3 linked regions of the Mus musculus genome follow. The protein of the gene in region 3 purifies or fractionates together with the protein of the main gene of each other region. This does not show direct contact. Links are inferred from orthologs where the notes say so. Each region holds a gene or a part of one and is shown on either strand. Other genes may lie near its edges.

The links.
Region 1: the proteins of Bcl7a (region 3) and Dpf1 purify together in Homo sapiens (affinity purification with mass spectrometry; 3 studies listed by BioGRID and IntAct, counting the BioPlex papers as one, with this or other methods). This does not show direct contact. The link is inferred for Mus musculus from reciprocal best matches to the Homo sapiens genes BCL7A and DPF1.
Region 2: the proteins of Bcl7a (region 3) and Smarcc2 purify together in Homo sapiens (affinity purification with mass spectrometry; 4 studies listed by BioGRID and IntAct, counting the BioPlex papers as one, with this or other methods). This does not show direct contact. The link is inferred for Mus musculus from reciprocal best matches to the Homo sapiens genes BCL7A and SMARCC2.

The regions. Positions count from the first base shown.
Region 1 is NC_000073.6:29,310,948-29,314,598, forward strand, and holds part of Dpf1 (zinc finger protein neuro-d4), read left to right. Parts: intron 1-317; coding exon 318-445; intron 446-659; coding exon 660-749; intron 750-1,900; coding exon 1,901-1,979; intron 1,980-2,134; coding exon 2,135-2,266; intron 2,267-3,191; coding exon 3,192-3,242; intron 3,243-3,335; coding exon 3,336-3,455; intron 3,456-3,651. UniProt on the Homo sapiens protein: May have an important role in developing neurons by participating in regulation of cell survival, possibly as a neurospecific transcription factor. Belongs to the neuron-specific chromatin remodeling complex (nBAF complex).
Region 2 is NC_000076.6:128,465,762-128,469,412, reverse strand, and holds part of Smarcc2 (SWI/SNF complex subunit SMARCC2), read right to left. Parts: intron 619-3,651; coding exon 543-618; intron 408-542; coding exon 276-407; intron 172-275; coding exon 56-171; intron 1-55. UniProt on the Homo sapiens protein: Involved in transcriptional activation and repression of select genes by chromatin remodeling (alteration of DNA-nucleosome topology).
Region 3 is NC_000071.6:123,357,907-123,361,557, reverse strand, and holds part of Bcl7a (B-cell CLL/lymphoma 7 protein family member A), read right to left. Parts: intron 727-3,651; exon of another isoform or gene 557-726; intron 368-556; coding exon 200-367; intron 1-199.

The sequences.
Region 1 (3,651 bases), on a different chromosome or scaffold from region 3:
GTCTAGTTGCCTTTCTACTATGCATGCAGGTATTTATGAGGGTCCATAGTGTTCCTAAGGGTTGCCAGTGTATTGGAGTCTGGTTCTGTCTTCTTTATCTAGTAGAGCTGAGGGTGTGGCTGTGCCTTCCCAGTGTATGGATATTCTTTCCAGGGCTTGAGTCGAATCCTTCTGTCCATTGTTGGCTGTGTGTGGGACAGTGTGGGAGAGCCTGTCCCTGTCGAAAGGACCATGCCCCCACCCCCACCCCCTGCAACCCGGGCACTTTGGCCACAGCCTCTTCAACTGATACCACTTTCCCTGTGGCCCGTCCCCAGATTGTGAGGCACCTCTGAAGAAGGAGGGTGGCCTCCCGGAAGGGCCAGTCCTCGAGGCTCTGCTGTGTGCTGAGACTGGAGAGAAGAAAGTGGAGCTGAAGGAGGAGGAGACCATCATGGACTGTCAGGTAAGGAGCCCCTCCCCGGCTGCAGATGCTCTCACCACTATGCCTTCCTGCTCTGAGATGCCCGGCTCCTCAGGGCCTCTGGGTACCCTATGGCCCCGATCTCCCAGAACACCTCTGCTTGTAGAAGGGTCCCTGACCTGCTCCCCCACCCTACCTGCAGCACATCAGTGCCCCCACCTTCTTGACCCCCCAATCTCCCTTCTACTGGGCCCAGAAACAGCAGTTGCTGGAGTTTCCGCATGATCTCGAGGTAGAAGACTTGGAGGAAGACATTCCCAGGAGGAAGAACAGGGCAAGAGGAAAGGTACCTTCCAGCAGCTTCCCTCCCGCCTCCTCCCCAGAGCCACGTAAAGGAGTAGAGGGCTTTGCACCCATTTTTATGGGTGAGGAAATGGAAACTCAGTGGATTATAAACTTTTTCGAAAATGGAGCTTGTGGATCAGAACTGTCTTGCAGAGCTGGGTGTGGTAGCCCACACTTGTAATCCCAGCACCTGGGAGGCTGAGGCAGGAGAATTGCTACAAGTTTGAGACAAGTGAATTCCAGGCTATTCTGAACTAAATAAAGAGATCGTGTGCAAAAAGAGATTAAAAAAAAAAAATCCTAAACCAAACCAGCTACCCAGACAACAACATCAGCAACACACACAAACACACACACGCACCATGCACACACATACAAACACACTCACATAAACACACACACTTACAAATACACACACATACAAACATGTACACACACATACAAATACATGTGTACAAATATACACTCCACATGTACACATAAACACACATATACATGCACACACACACACACACACACACACACACACACTCACAACCTCTAATAAGAACAATAAAAAGGTGTTGGAACACAGATTTACTCCCAGCACTGGAGAGGCAGAGGCAAGAGGATCTCTGAGTTCAAGGCCAGCCTGATCTATAGAGTGAGTTCGCAGGTAGCTAGGACTGTGTGGAGAGACCCTGTCTCAAAACAACAACAAGAAGAATTATCTTCATAGGTGTACCGAGAGAAATTCAAAGGCTCACCACTAGAAACTGTGCCCAGTTTTAGTGGGGAAGATTTCATTATCGTTGTGTGGTTCTGGCACCCAGAATCTCACACTCACATGACACCTGCTCTGTCACTGAGCCACGCCCCCAGTGCTGAAAAGAAAAACTTTAATTTTTTTCTTCAGTTTGACTTTCAAGTCTAAACGAAGAAGCCCACTAAGGCATGGTAGCACATATCCCATAATTCAGAAGCAGGAGGGCCACTGCATGTTTAAGGCCAGCCTGATCTACAGAGTGAATTCCAGGTCAGGCAGGGCTACATAATGAGACCCTGTCTCAAGCAACAACAGCAACAACGACGACAAACTCAAAAACCCCAAGAATGATGAGCCTTTCTTTCCCTGGCTTTCCAGCTCCTTACTCCTAACCCTCCTCCCTACAGGCATATGGCATTGGAGGTCTCCGCAAACGCCAGGACACCGCATCCCTGGAGGACCGAGACAAGCCGTACGTCTGTGATAGTGAGTTCTGCAGAGGGGAAAGAGAGATGGGGGTTGGGGGGGGGGCAGTGACCTCTCCCTTATGGCCCTCAGCAGAGCAGGTGGTGTGAACCTGGAGGCCAGGGTGGAGGAGGTGGCCCCGGAGTCTGACAATCACCCACTCACTTCCCCTCCAGTCTGTGGGAAGAGATATAAGAACCGGCCAGGACTCAGCTACCATTACACCCACACCCACCTGGCTGAGGAGGAGGGGGAGGAGCACACTGAACGCCACGCCCTGCCTTTCCACCGGAAAAACAACCATAAACGTGAGTTGGAGGGTCAAGGCTGGTGGGTGAGGTGCCAGGGGTGGGGCGGGAGCAATGGAGCCTGGAAATGTCTGCGGACGGGGAGGTGGGGGCACATTTAGACATTTCTGGAAAATCTTCAGCTTAACGGTTCCCTCCTCCACCAACCATAGGGATGCTGGCTCTGGGGTTGTCATGACAACCAACTCTCTCTCTCTCTCTCTCTCTCTCTCTCTCTCTCTCTCTCTCTCTCTCTCCCTCTCCCTCCCCCTCCCTCATTCTCTCTCTCTCTCTCTCTCTCTCTCTCTCTCTCTCTCTCTCTCTCCCTCATTCCCTGCCCGGGCATAATATTTCTGGGTCTGATTTATTGTTTCAATTAGAGCTCTGAGGGGGGTGGTAGATGACTTCCCCACCCCCACCCCAGACCTCCCTCGTCTCCTTCTCTACTATGTTAGGATCCAGGGCAAGGTCGGTGGCCCCCAGGGTCCTTGACACCCACCCATGGCTGTTCCATGCCATGATGACAGCTGAGCCACGGAGGAAGTGGACTATCTCTCACCTGTCCCTCAAAGAGAGCCTCTCCAAAAACCTCAGGCCTGGCCCAGAGCCCTCTGTGCTGTAAAAATGCCCTGATTAGGCTTTGCAGAACTGTCTGCTAATCGTTGGCCTAGGCAAACTTACTTAGGGGTGCCTAAGGGGGTGCCCCCTACATGATGGGGGCAGCCATGGGCTCTTGCTAAGGTTATACCTATCTCTCAGACTTTTACCCAAATAGAACGTATGGTTACCCCAAGAGTTAGGGTTCTGGTGAGAATGGCTTGCCCCTCCCCCAGCTTCCTTGCTACTTCCCAGTGCCTGGGCCAAGGGTCCCGCCCCTGGGGCTGAGGCTGGGGACAGATGGGACCTTGCCTATGGTAAGAGCCCCTTTCTGTCCCCCCACCCCCAGAGTTTTACAAAGAATTGGCCTGGGTCCCCGAGGCACAGAGGAAACACACAGGTAGGGGCACCTCCCTCCTCCCCGACTTCTGCAGCAGTCTTTGACTGGCACGCCTCACCTGTCCTGTGCCCACCGCTGCCTGCTGTCTTTCAGCCAAGAAAGCACCAGATGGCACTGTCATCCCCAATGGCTACTGTGACTTTTGCCTGGGGGGCTCCAAGAAGACTGGGTGTCCCGAGGACCTCATCTCCTGTGCGGACTGTGGGCGATCAGGTGACACTCACCACATATTTTCTGGAAGATGGCGGGGAGAGGGCATCTCAGAATCTGGATTTAGGGAATGGGAGGCAAGGGGAGCGAGGGCTGTACCCCGCCTGTCCTTGGGACTGCCTCTGCTGCCGGGGTCTGTGGGAAACTGAGCGGACTTGCTGGCACAGGAGGAACCAACAGTACGAGGTGCCATGGCTTT
Region 2 (3,651 bases), on a different chromosome or scaffold from region 3:
TCTTTCCTTTGAGATGGCATCAGGACAGCGCGTGTGGGCACAGGAGGTAGCTTACCCTTTCTTAGCGTTTTTCTTCTTAGCCTCTGGGGTGGGTGAAGGAGAGGGAGAGCGCTTCCTCTTCTTATAGTTGCCCCCCTTCTTGTCTCGTCTGTCTGAATCTGGGCTGTTTACCTGCACAACAGGACGTGGGATGAGCAGCAGTTTACCCTCCAGTTCCCAGCAAGGCTTGCCTCAGGTGTAAGCTAAGAGCTCTGACAGGGAGGAGCAGAGCTCACCTCGTCTGTCAGCGTCTTGGCTGAGATCTTCTTCCTGCGGGAGACTGGGCTTTTGTCGTCACTGACTTCGTAGTCTTCCTCATTCATCCACTCGTTGAATGTGTCGGTGTCGAGGATCCACTTCGCATGGACCTGAAGCACACACAGGGCAGTCCGTGTCAGAGTTATCAGAAGCCACGGCTCTGTCTAGAAACTCTTACAGAGTCCCAGCTCCTCTGACAGAGAAGGCTGGTCCTGAGTGGGGTGGAGGGGACCAGGAGAGCTCACCTTCCTCGGTTTCTCAGGAGTGGGAGCGTCCTCCACAGATGCTTCAATTTCACTCGCTGGGATCCACGTGTCGTAGCTGCCAGAAAAGATTCAGTGTGAGATGGAGACGGAGATGGACTGCCGGGAGCGAAGTGCAGCCTAAGGCCGGCCTGGTCAGTGTAGCAGGAGCTTGTACCATAATAAAAATGTAAAGGAGGGCTAGAGGTGGCTCAGTGGTAGAGTACTTGGCGAGCACAGACAGGCTCTTGGACCCATGAAACTATCAACAATAAAACAGGAACAAAAACTCGAAAGCCAGGCGTGGTGATGTAAGCCTGGGATCCCAGTACTCAGGAGGGTCTTGTGTCCGACTCAGTATGAACAGCAGAGTGAGACCATCTCAAAAACCAAAAGCAAACCAGTCAACCAAGAAATAAAACAGAGCACAAAAAGTTTCCCAAAACGTATGAAGACAATCTAACATTGGTGACTATGGGAAACTGAGGCAGGATTCCCTTAAGTCTAAAGTGAGACCTGTGCATCAGGGTAAGCTATAACCAACCACTTCTTCAAATGTAATTACAACTATATTACATTTGTATTTGTTTTGTTTTGCTCCCTGAAAGAGAGGTCACACTATGTCTCCCAGAAGAGCTTAGAAGTCCTAGGCTCCTGTCTCTACCTTCTGGGGAGCTCTAGCTGTAGATGCTAACTTCCCTTTCTCACTTAAATTTCCCTATAAACTAACTGTATTCTGTCACTTTAAAGGCTGCATAATAGCCTTTATAGAGTATTATATACATTTGTGGAAACATTTCCTACTACTATACTGTTTTAACTTTTGTTCTAAGATACAACTTCACATAGCTTAGGCTGGCCCTAAACTTCACATAGCTTAGGCTGGCTCTAAACTTCCAAGGAAACTGAAAATGACTTTGATTTCCTGATCTTTGATTCCTAAAGTGTTGAGAGTGCAGATGTGTTATACCATGCTTGCCTTTGTTTTACATTTAATTATCAAAACATATGAACATGACCCAGAGGGATGACTTGGCAGAAAGTGCTTGCCACACAAGCCTGGTGACCGGAGCTACATCTCTGGGACCCAACCTGGAAGGAAAGCATAGGATCCCAATCCTGAATACACACACACACACACACACACACACACACACACACACACACACACACACACAGAGTAAGAAAAAGAAGGTCAGGCGTGAGAGAGCAATCCTCTAATCACAGCACTCAGGGGGAGAAGCTGGTACATCTATGTGAGATCTTGTCTTAAGTATGTATGTAAGTATGTGTGTGTGTATGTATGTATGTATGTATGTATGTATGTGTGTAAGTATGTAAGTATGTATGTATGTGTGTAAGTATGTAAGTATGTATGTATGTATGTAAGTATGTATGTATGTATGTATGTAAGTATGCATGTAAGTATGTGTTTATGTATGTAAGTATGTATGTAAGTATGTATGTATGTATGCATGATAAAACAGAACATAAAATTGAACTGGGGGGGCTGGTGAGATGGCTCAGTGAGTAAGAGCACCCGACTGCTCTTCCGAAGGTCTGCAGTTCAAATCCCAGCAACCACATGGTGGCTCACAACCATCCGTAACAAGATCTGACGCCCTCTTCTGGTGTGTCTGAAGACAGCTACAGTGTACTTACATATAATAAAAAAAAAAAAAAAAAAATATATATAACCTAGAACCTATATAAAAATGCTGGGCACGGAGCTGAAGAGATGGCTCAGCAGTTAAGAGCAATTGTTGCTAGGAGGAACATAAATATGAACTAACCAGTACCCCCAGAGCTCCCTGGAACTAAACCACCAATCAAAGAAAGGAGAGACTCATGGCTCTAGCTGCATATGTAGCAGAGGATGGCCTAGTCGGTCATCAATGGGAGGAGAGGCCCTTGGTCTGTGAAGGTTCTATGCCCCAGTGTAGAGGAATGCCAGGGCAGGGAAGCGGGAGTGGGCGGGTTGGGGAGCATGGGGAGTGGGGAGGGGACAGGGGATTTTCGGAGGAGAAACTAGGAAAGGGGCTAATATTTGAAATGTAAATAAAGAAAATATCTAATTTAAAAAAAAGAGAGAAAAGAAAAAAATTTTAAAAAGGTTGGGGGGAGAATAATTGTTGCTCTGGCAGAGAACCTGGGATCAGTTCCCAGCACCTACATTATGACTGAAAACTACCTATAACTCTAGTTCAAGAGAATCTGTAGGTGTTCTCTTCTGACCTCTGCAGACACCAGGCATTCATGTGACACACATACATACATAAATGTGGGCACTCACACACATAAAATTAAACAAACAAACAATGTTGGTGCTGGCCACTGCAGTGTTTCAAAGGTACAGAGGATCTCCAAGTCTCTCTGGCCATGTTACCTAGCTTAATTGGGGAGTACCAGGCTAATGAGAGACCCTATCTTAAAGAAAGTGGGCAACGTTCCTAAGGATGAACTTGAGGTTATCCTCTTGTCCCTGTGCATGCTCGCCCATGCACACAAAAAGACACACATTTAAAAGACAATTAGAGCCAGGTGGTGGTGGTGGCCTATGCCTTTAATCCCAGCACTCAGGAGGCAGAGGTGGGCAGATCTCTGAGTTTGAAGCCAGTCTGGTCTACATGGTGAATTCCAGGTTGGCTGAAATTACATAGTGAGATCCTGTCTTGACGGTGGTACACATCTTTATCCAGATCTTGGAGAACAGAGGCACATGGATCTCTGTGAGTTCCAGGACAGCCAGGGCTGTTACATAGAAAAACCCTATCTTGAAAAACTAACAAAGAGCAAACACTGGGAACTGGGCGCTGGGCATGGTGGCTCTCCTAAGCAATCCAAGCACTGAGGAGGTAAAGGGAGATGTTCTAGATGACTTTGGCTCTAAGATTTGGTCTCACAACAAACAGACAAACAAACAAAACACCAAGAAGCATTGGCTAGAGAGATGGCTCAGTATTTAAAGCAATTACTGCTCTTGTACAGGGCCCAGGTTTGGTTTCCAGCACCCACATGGTTCATAACAATCTATATCTCTAGTTTCAGGCGTACAGACATACAAGCACGCAAAACAACCGTACACATAAACTAAAAATTAAAGCTAAAAAGA
Region 3 (3,651 bases):
TGGTGTTGGGGTTCAAACCCAGCCCAATTGTCTGATTTCTCTCCTTTTTTAGTGGCTATAAAGCAGGTCTTACTTCTCTTCTATAGTCATGGCCTGGACTTGGCACATGGCAAAGTCTTCTTAAAACCCCTGCGGCTTGTCTGGCTCCAGGCTGGCTGAGCAGCAGCCCCTCCTCGCCCTGTCTCTGGGTGGCAAGTACCTTCAGCTCCAGGGTGCTCTTTTCCATCGGCCTGCGCCTCATCAGCCTTGGCTTCGGTGCCATCGCTGGGCACGGGTGGGTTGGTCTCTGGGGCAGGGCTGGAGTTGCTGCTGTTCTCTTGCTTGATGGGGGAGGCGTCTGCTATGGAGCTCTGGTTGCTGTTATCATCTGCACAGGAACAGAGCATAGGCTGACATCCTATAACTGCTGGGGAGAGGCGAGTGCCATCTCCCTAGCCCGAATCCTCCAATGAGACAGCTGAAGAGATGAGAGGAAATGAATGGGGTGGTGGAGCTAATCACTAAGTTGGAGACAGCTCTGGGGCCCGGGGTACAGTCATTTTATTTTTTTATTTTTATAGGGGAGAGCATGAACAGTCCCCAATGACCAGAAATTACACAGTTGAATTTCTCACACTTGGGAGAATCACAGGGGTGATATGTAAATCGGCACACCCCAAGTGCAATGGAGGAGCCTCACCCTTGGAAACCACCTCCTGGATCGCCTCTGCTCTGCCGGGGAAGCACGAGACGGCCATTCTAGACCAAGAACACCCAAGCGGTCATCTGACAGAATCACTCGGTAACTCGGCAGCTCACACTCATAATCCTAGCGTTTAAGGGCAGAGCCTGGAGGATTACTGCAAATTTGAGATCACCATGCTCTACCTAGTGGGTTCGGGATAGCCAGGACTTCATACCGAGACTGTCTCCAACAATAAATAACACGTCTTTGTAGGCAACGCTACCCGTGGAACCTTGTAAAACTGAGGACAGAGGCCATCCCTGCAAACCCATGTGCACGGAGAAAGAGCATTAACACTTATACCATTATGTTCTGAAAATAAGGTCTTGCTTGCCATGTGGTCCAGGCTAGCCCCAAACTCATGACCTCAAGCAATCCTCTGGCTTTGGCTTCCTAACAGCTGGAAACTACAGGCATACTACCATGCCCAGACACTGCATTTAATCAATAACTTACTGATGGGCACCTACCTACCTGGTATTGTTACCAAAATTTGTACAGATTGGGGAACTGATCCCTCAGATCTGTTGTTTCTTCTTTTTCTTCTTCTTCTTCTTCGGACACAATTTTATTTTATTTTTTCAAAAGATTTATTTATTGTATATAAGTACACTGTAGCTGTCATCAAGTACTCCAGAAGAGACAGATCTCATCACAGATGGTTGCTGGGATTTGAAATCAGGACCTTGGGAAGAGCAGTCAGTGCTCTTAGCCACTGAGCCATCTCTTCAGCCCCCTAGGGCACAATTTTATGTTGCTCGTCAGAGCACTGAAAATGACTTTGAACTTCTGATCATCAGCCCTCTATCTACCCAGTGCTAGGCTTACGGGCATGGGCTTCCCATCCGATGTGGACCAACTTTCAACTCCTAGCATCTCTTTTCCCTCCACCTGGAGGGAGTGCCAGGCAGTCACACAGCCCAGCTGATCTCGGTTGACTATACTCCGGAATGCTAGTTACATAAAAGCATTCTCTTGTGAACGCTCGACTTGAAAATTACGCACTCTCCCCATTCAAGAAAGTCTAAATTTCCCCCAGGCCAGGACCCAGATGCATGTATGGTGAAAATTCTGTTAATAAATGACATAATAAATTGTCATGAGCATTAATGTCTGACGAGGCAGATGCTGGGGCCTGGCCTGGGAACTGTGATCCAAAGCTGACACGGCTGAATCTCTGGACTACAGACTGCAGCTCAGGTGACCTCTACAGCTCCCGCTGGGCCCCTTCCCCGGCCTTCTGGAACGGTCTTGCCAGGCCAACATTTGTCCCCGAGCCTTCATGCTTGGTCACCCCTGCCTTGGTCTTGGTTGTTCATGAACTAAAATGAAAATGACCAGAGGTAGGTATGTGGCTCTTTCTAATCTGCCCAGGCAGCAGGTTTAGATGCTGCCCACAAAGCCTCCCTCATGTCAGCCCAAGCACGGGAAGCTATCAGCTGCTAATGGGGCAAGATGACTTCCCTTCTCTTAGCCTTAGCTCTTCATCTGTAAAATGGGCTTTGTCATCCAATACTTGGCACATTAGGACGACTTCATAACGTAGCTGTGAGCATGCCAAGACTCTTCAGAGGTTATCTCATCTAATCCCCACAAAGACTTCATGAAGCAGGCACAGCCCACTCTGTTCTACAGGTTAAAACCAACCAGAAGGCTCGAGGTTACATCACTAACATACGATGACACCAGGAGGGAAGTCAGAGGGGATGCTTCAGGAAGCCAGGAACCAGGCCACATCCTGGATCTCACCTGAAAAGAAATGAATTCTGACTCATGGATTCTAGACTTGAACCTGGGACACCTCGGATGAACTTAAACTTGATTCTCCTGCCCTTCTCTCATCTGCTGGGATTAGAGGCCTGGACCCCCACATCCAGCTTACACAGTACCAGGGATGGGACCCAGAGCTTTGTGCATGGCATGTGAGCACTCTGTCAACGGAACTACATCCTCAATCCTTGGTTTTTTGTTGTCGCTTTTGGTTTTTTATGTTGAGACCGGGTCTCATGTAGCCCAGGTCGTCCTCGAACTCCTGATCCCTCTGCCTCCATCTCTGGAGAGCTAGAATTACACAGTCCCGAGCCACTACACTCAGTGGGACCGTGGACCTTTCTCTGCTCATTAAGCAGCAGCAAAACTCCATTGTGTTTTTGTGAAGCCGAGTCAGAAAGAAACAAGGCTCCTTGATTAGATGCCAGGGGTTGGAGATCTAGCATGGTCAGTTTGGGTAAATGGGATGTGCTGGGTACTTTTATGTCAATTTGACACAGGCTAGAGTCATTTGAGAGGAGGGAACTCCAATTGGGAAAGTGTCCCCATAAGATTTGACTGTAGGAAAGCCTGAGATTGGTGGGGGAGGGCGAGTCCACTGTGGGCAGTGTACTGGTGTTCTATAAGAAAGCAGGCTGAGAAAGCCATGGGGAGAAAGCCAGCGAGCAGCACCTCTCTGTGGCCTCTGCATCAGCTCCTGCCTCCAGGCTCCTGCCCTGACTTGGATGATGAACTATTTTGTGGAAACATAAGCCAGATAAATCCTTTCCTCATCAACTTGCTTTTTGGTCAGGATGTTTATCATAGCAATGGTAACCCTGAAACTGAGGGTACTTACTGCCTCTGTCTTCCCAGGATGAGACAGGGCTGAGTCTGAGGGCATCAGCAACTCAAGCAAGCCACTATTCCTTTTTGACTTCGACGGACCTACCACATACCACCTTGTTGTACTAGAGGTTTAGAGTGGTCAAAAGGACAAGTGCATGCATGGGCCAACCAAGATGGCTGAGTGGGTGAAGGTGCTTGCCACCAAGCTTGATGATCCGAGTTCGATCCCTGGAACCTACTTGGTGGAAAGAGAGAACCATCTCCCATAAGATGTGGTACACATATGTCTCCCCACCTCACACACAAAATAAATAAATGCAACAAAAAAA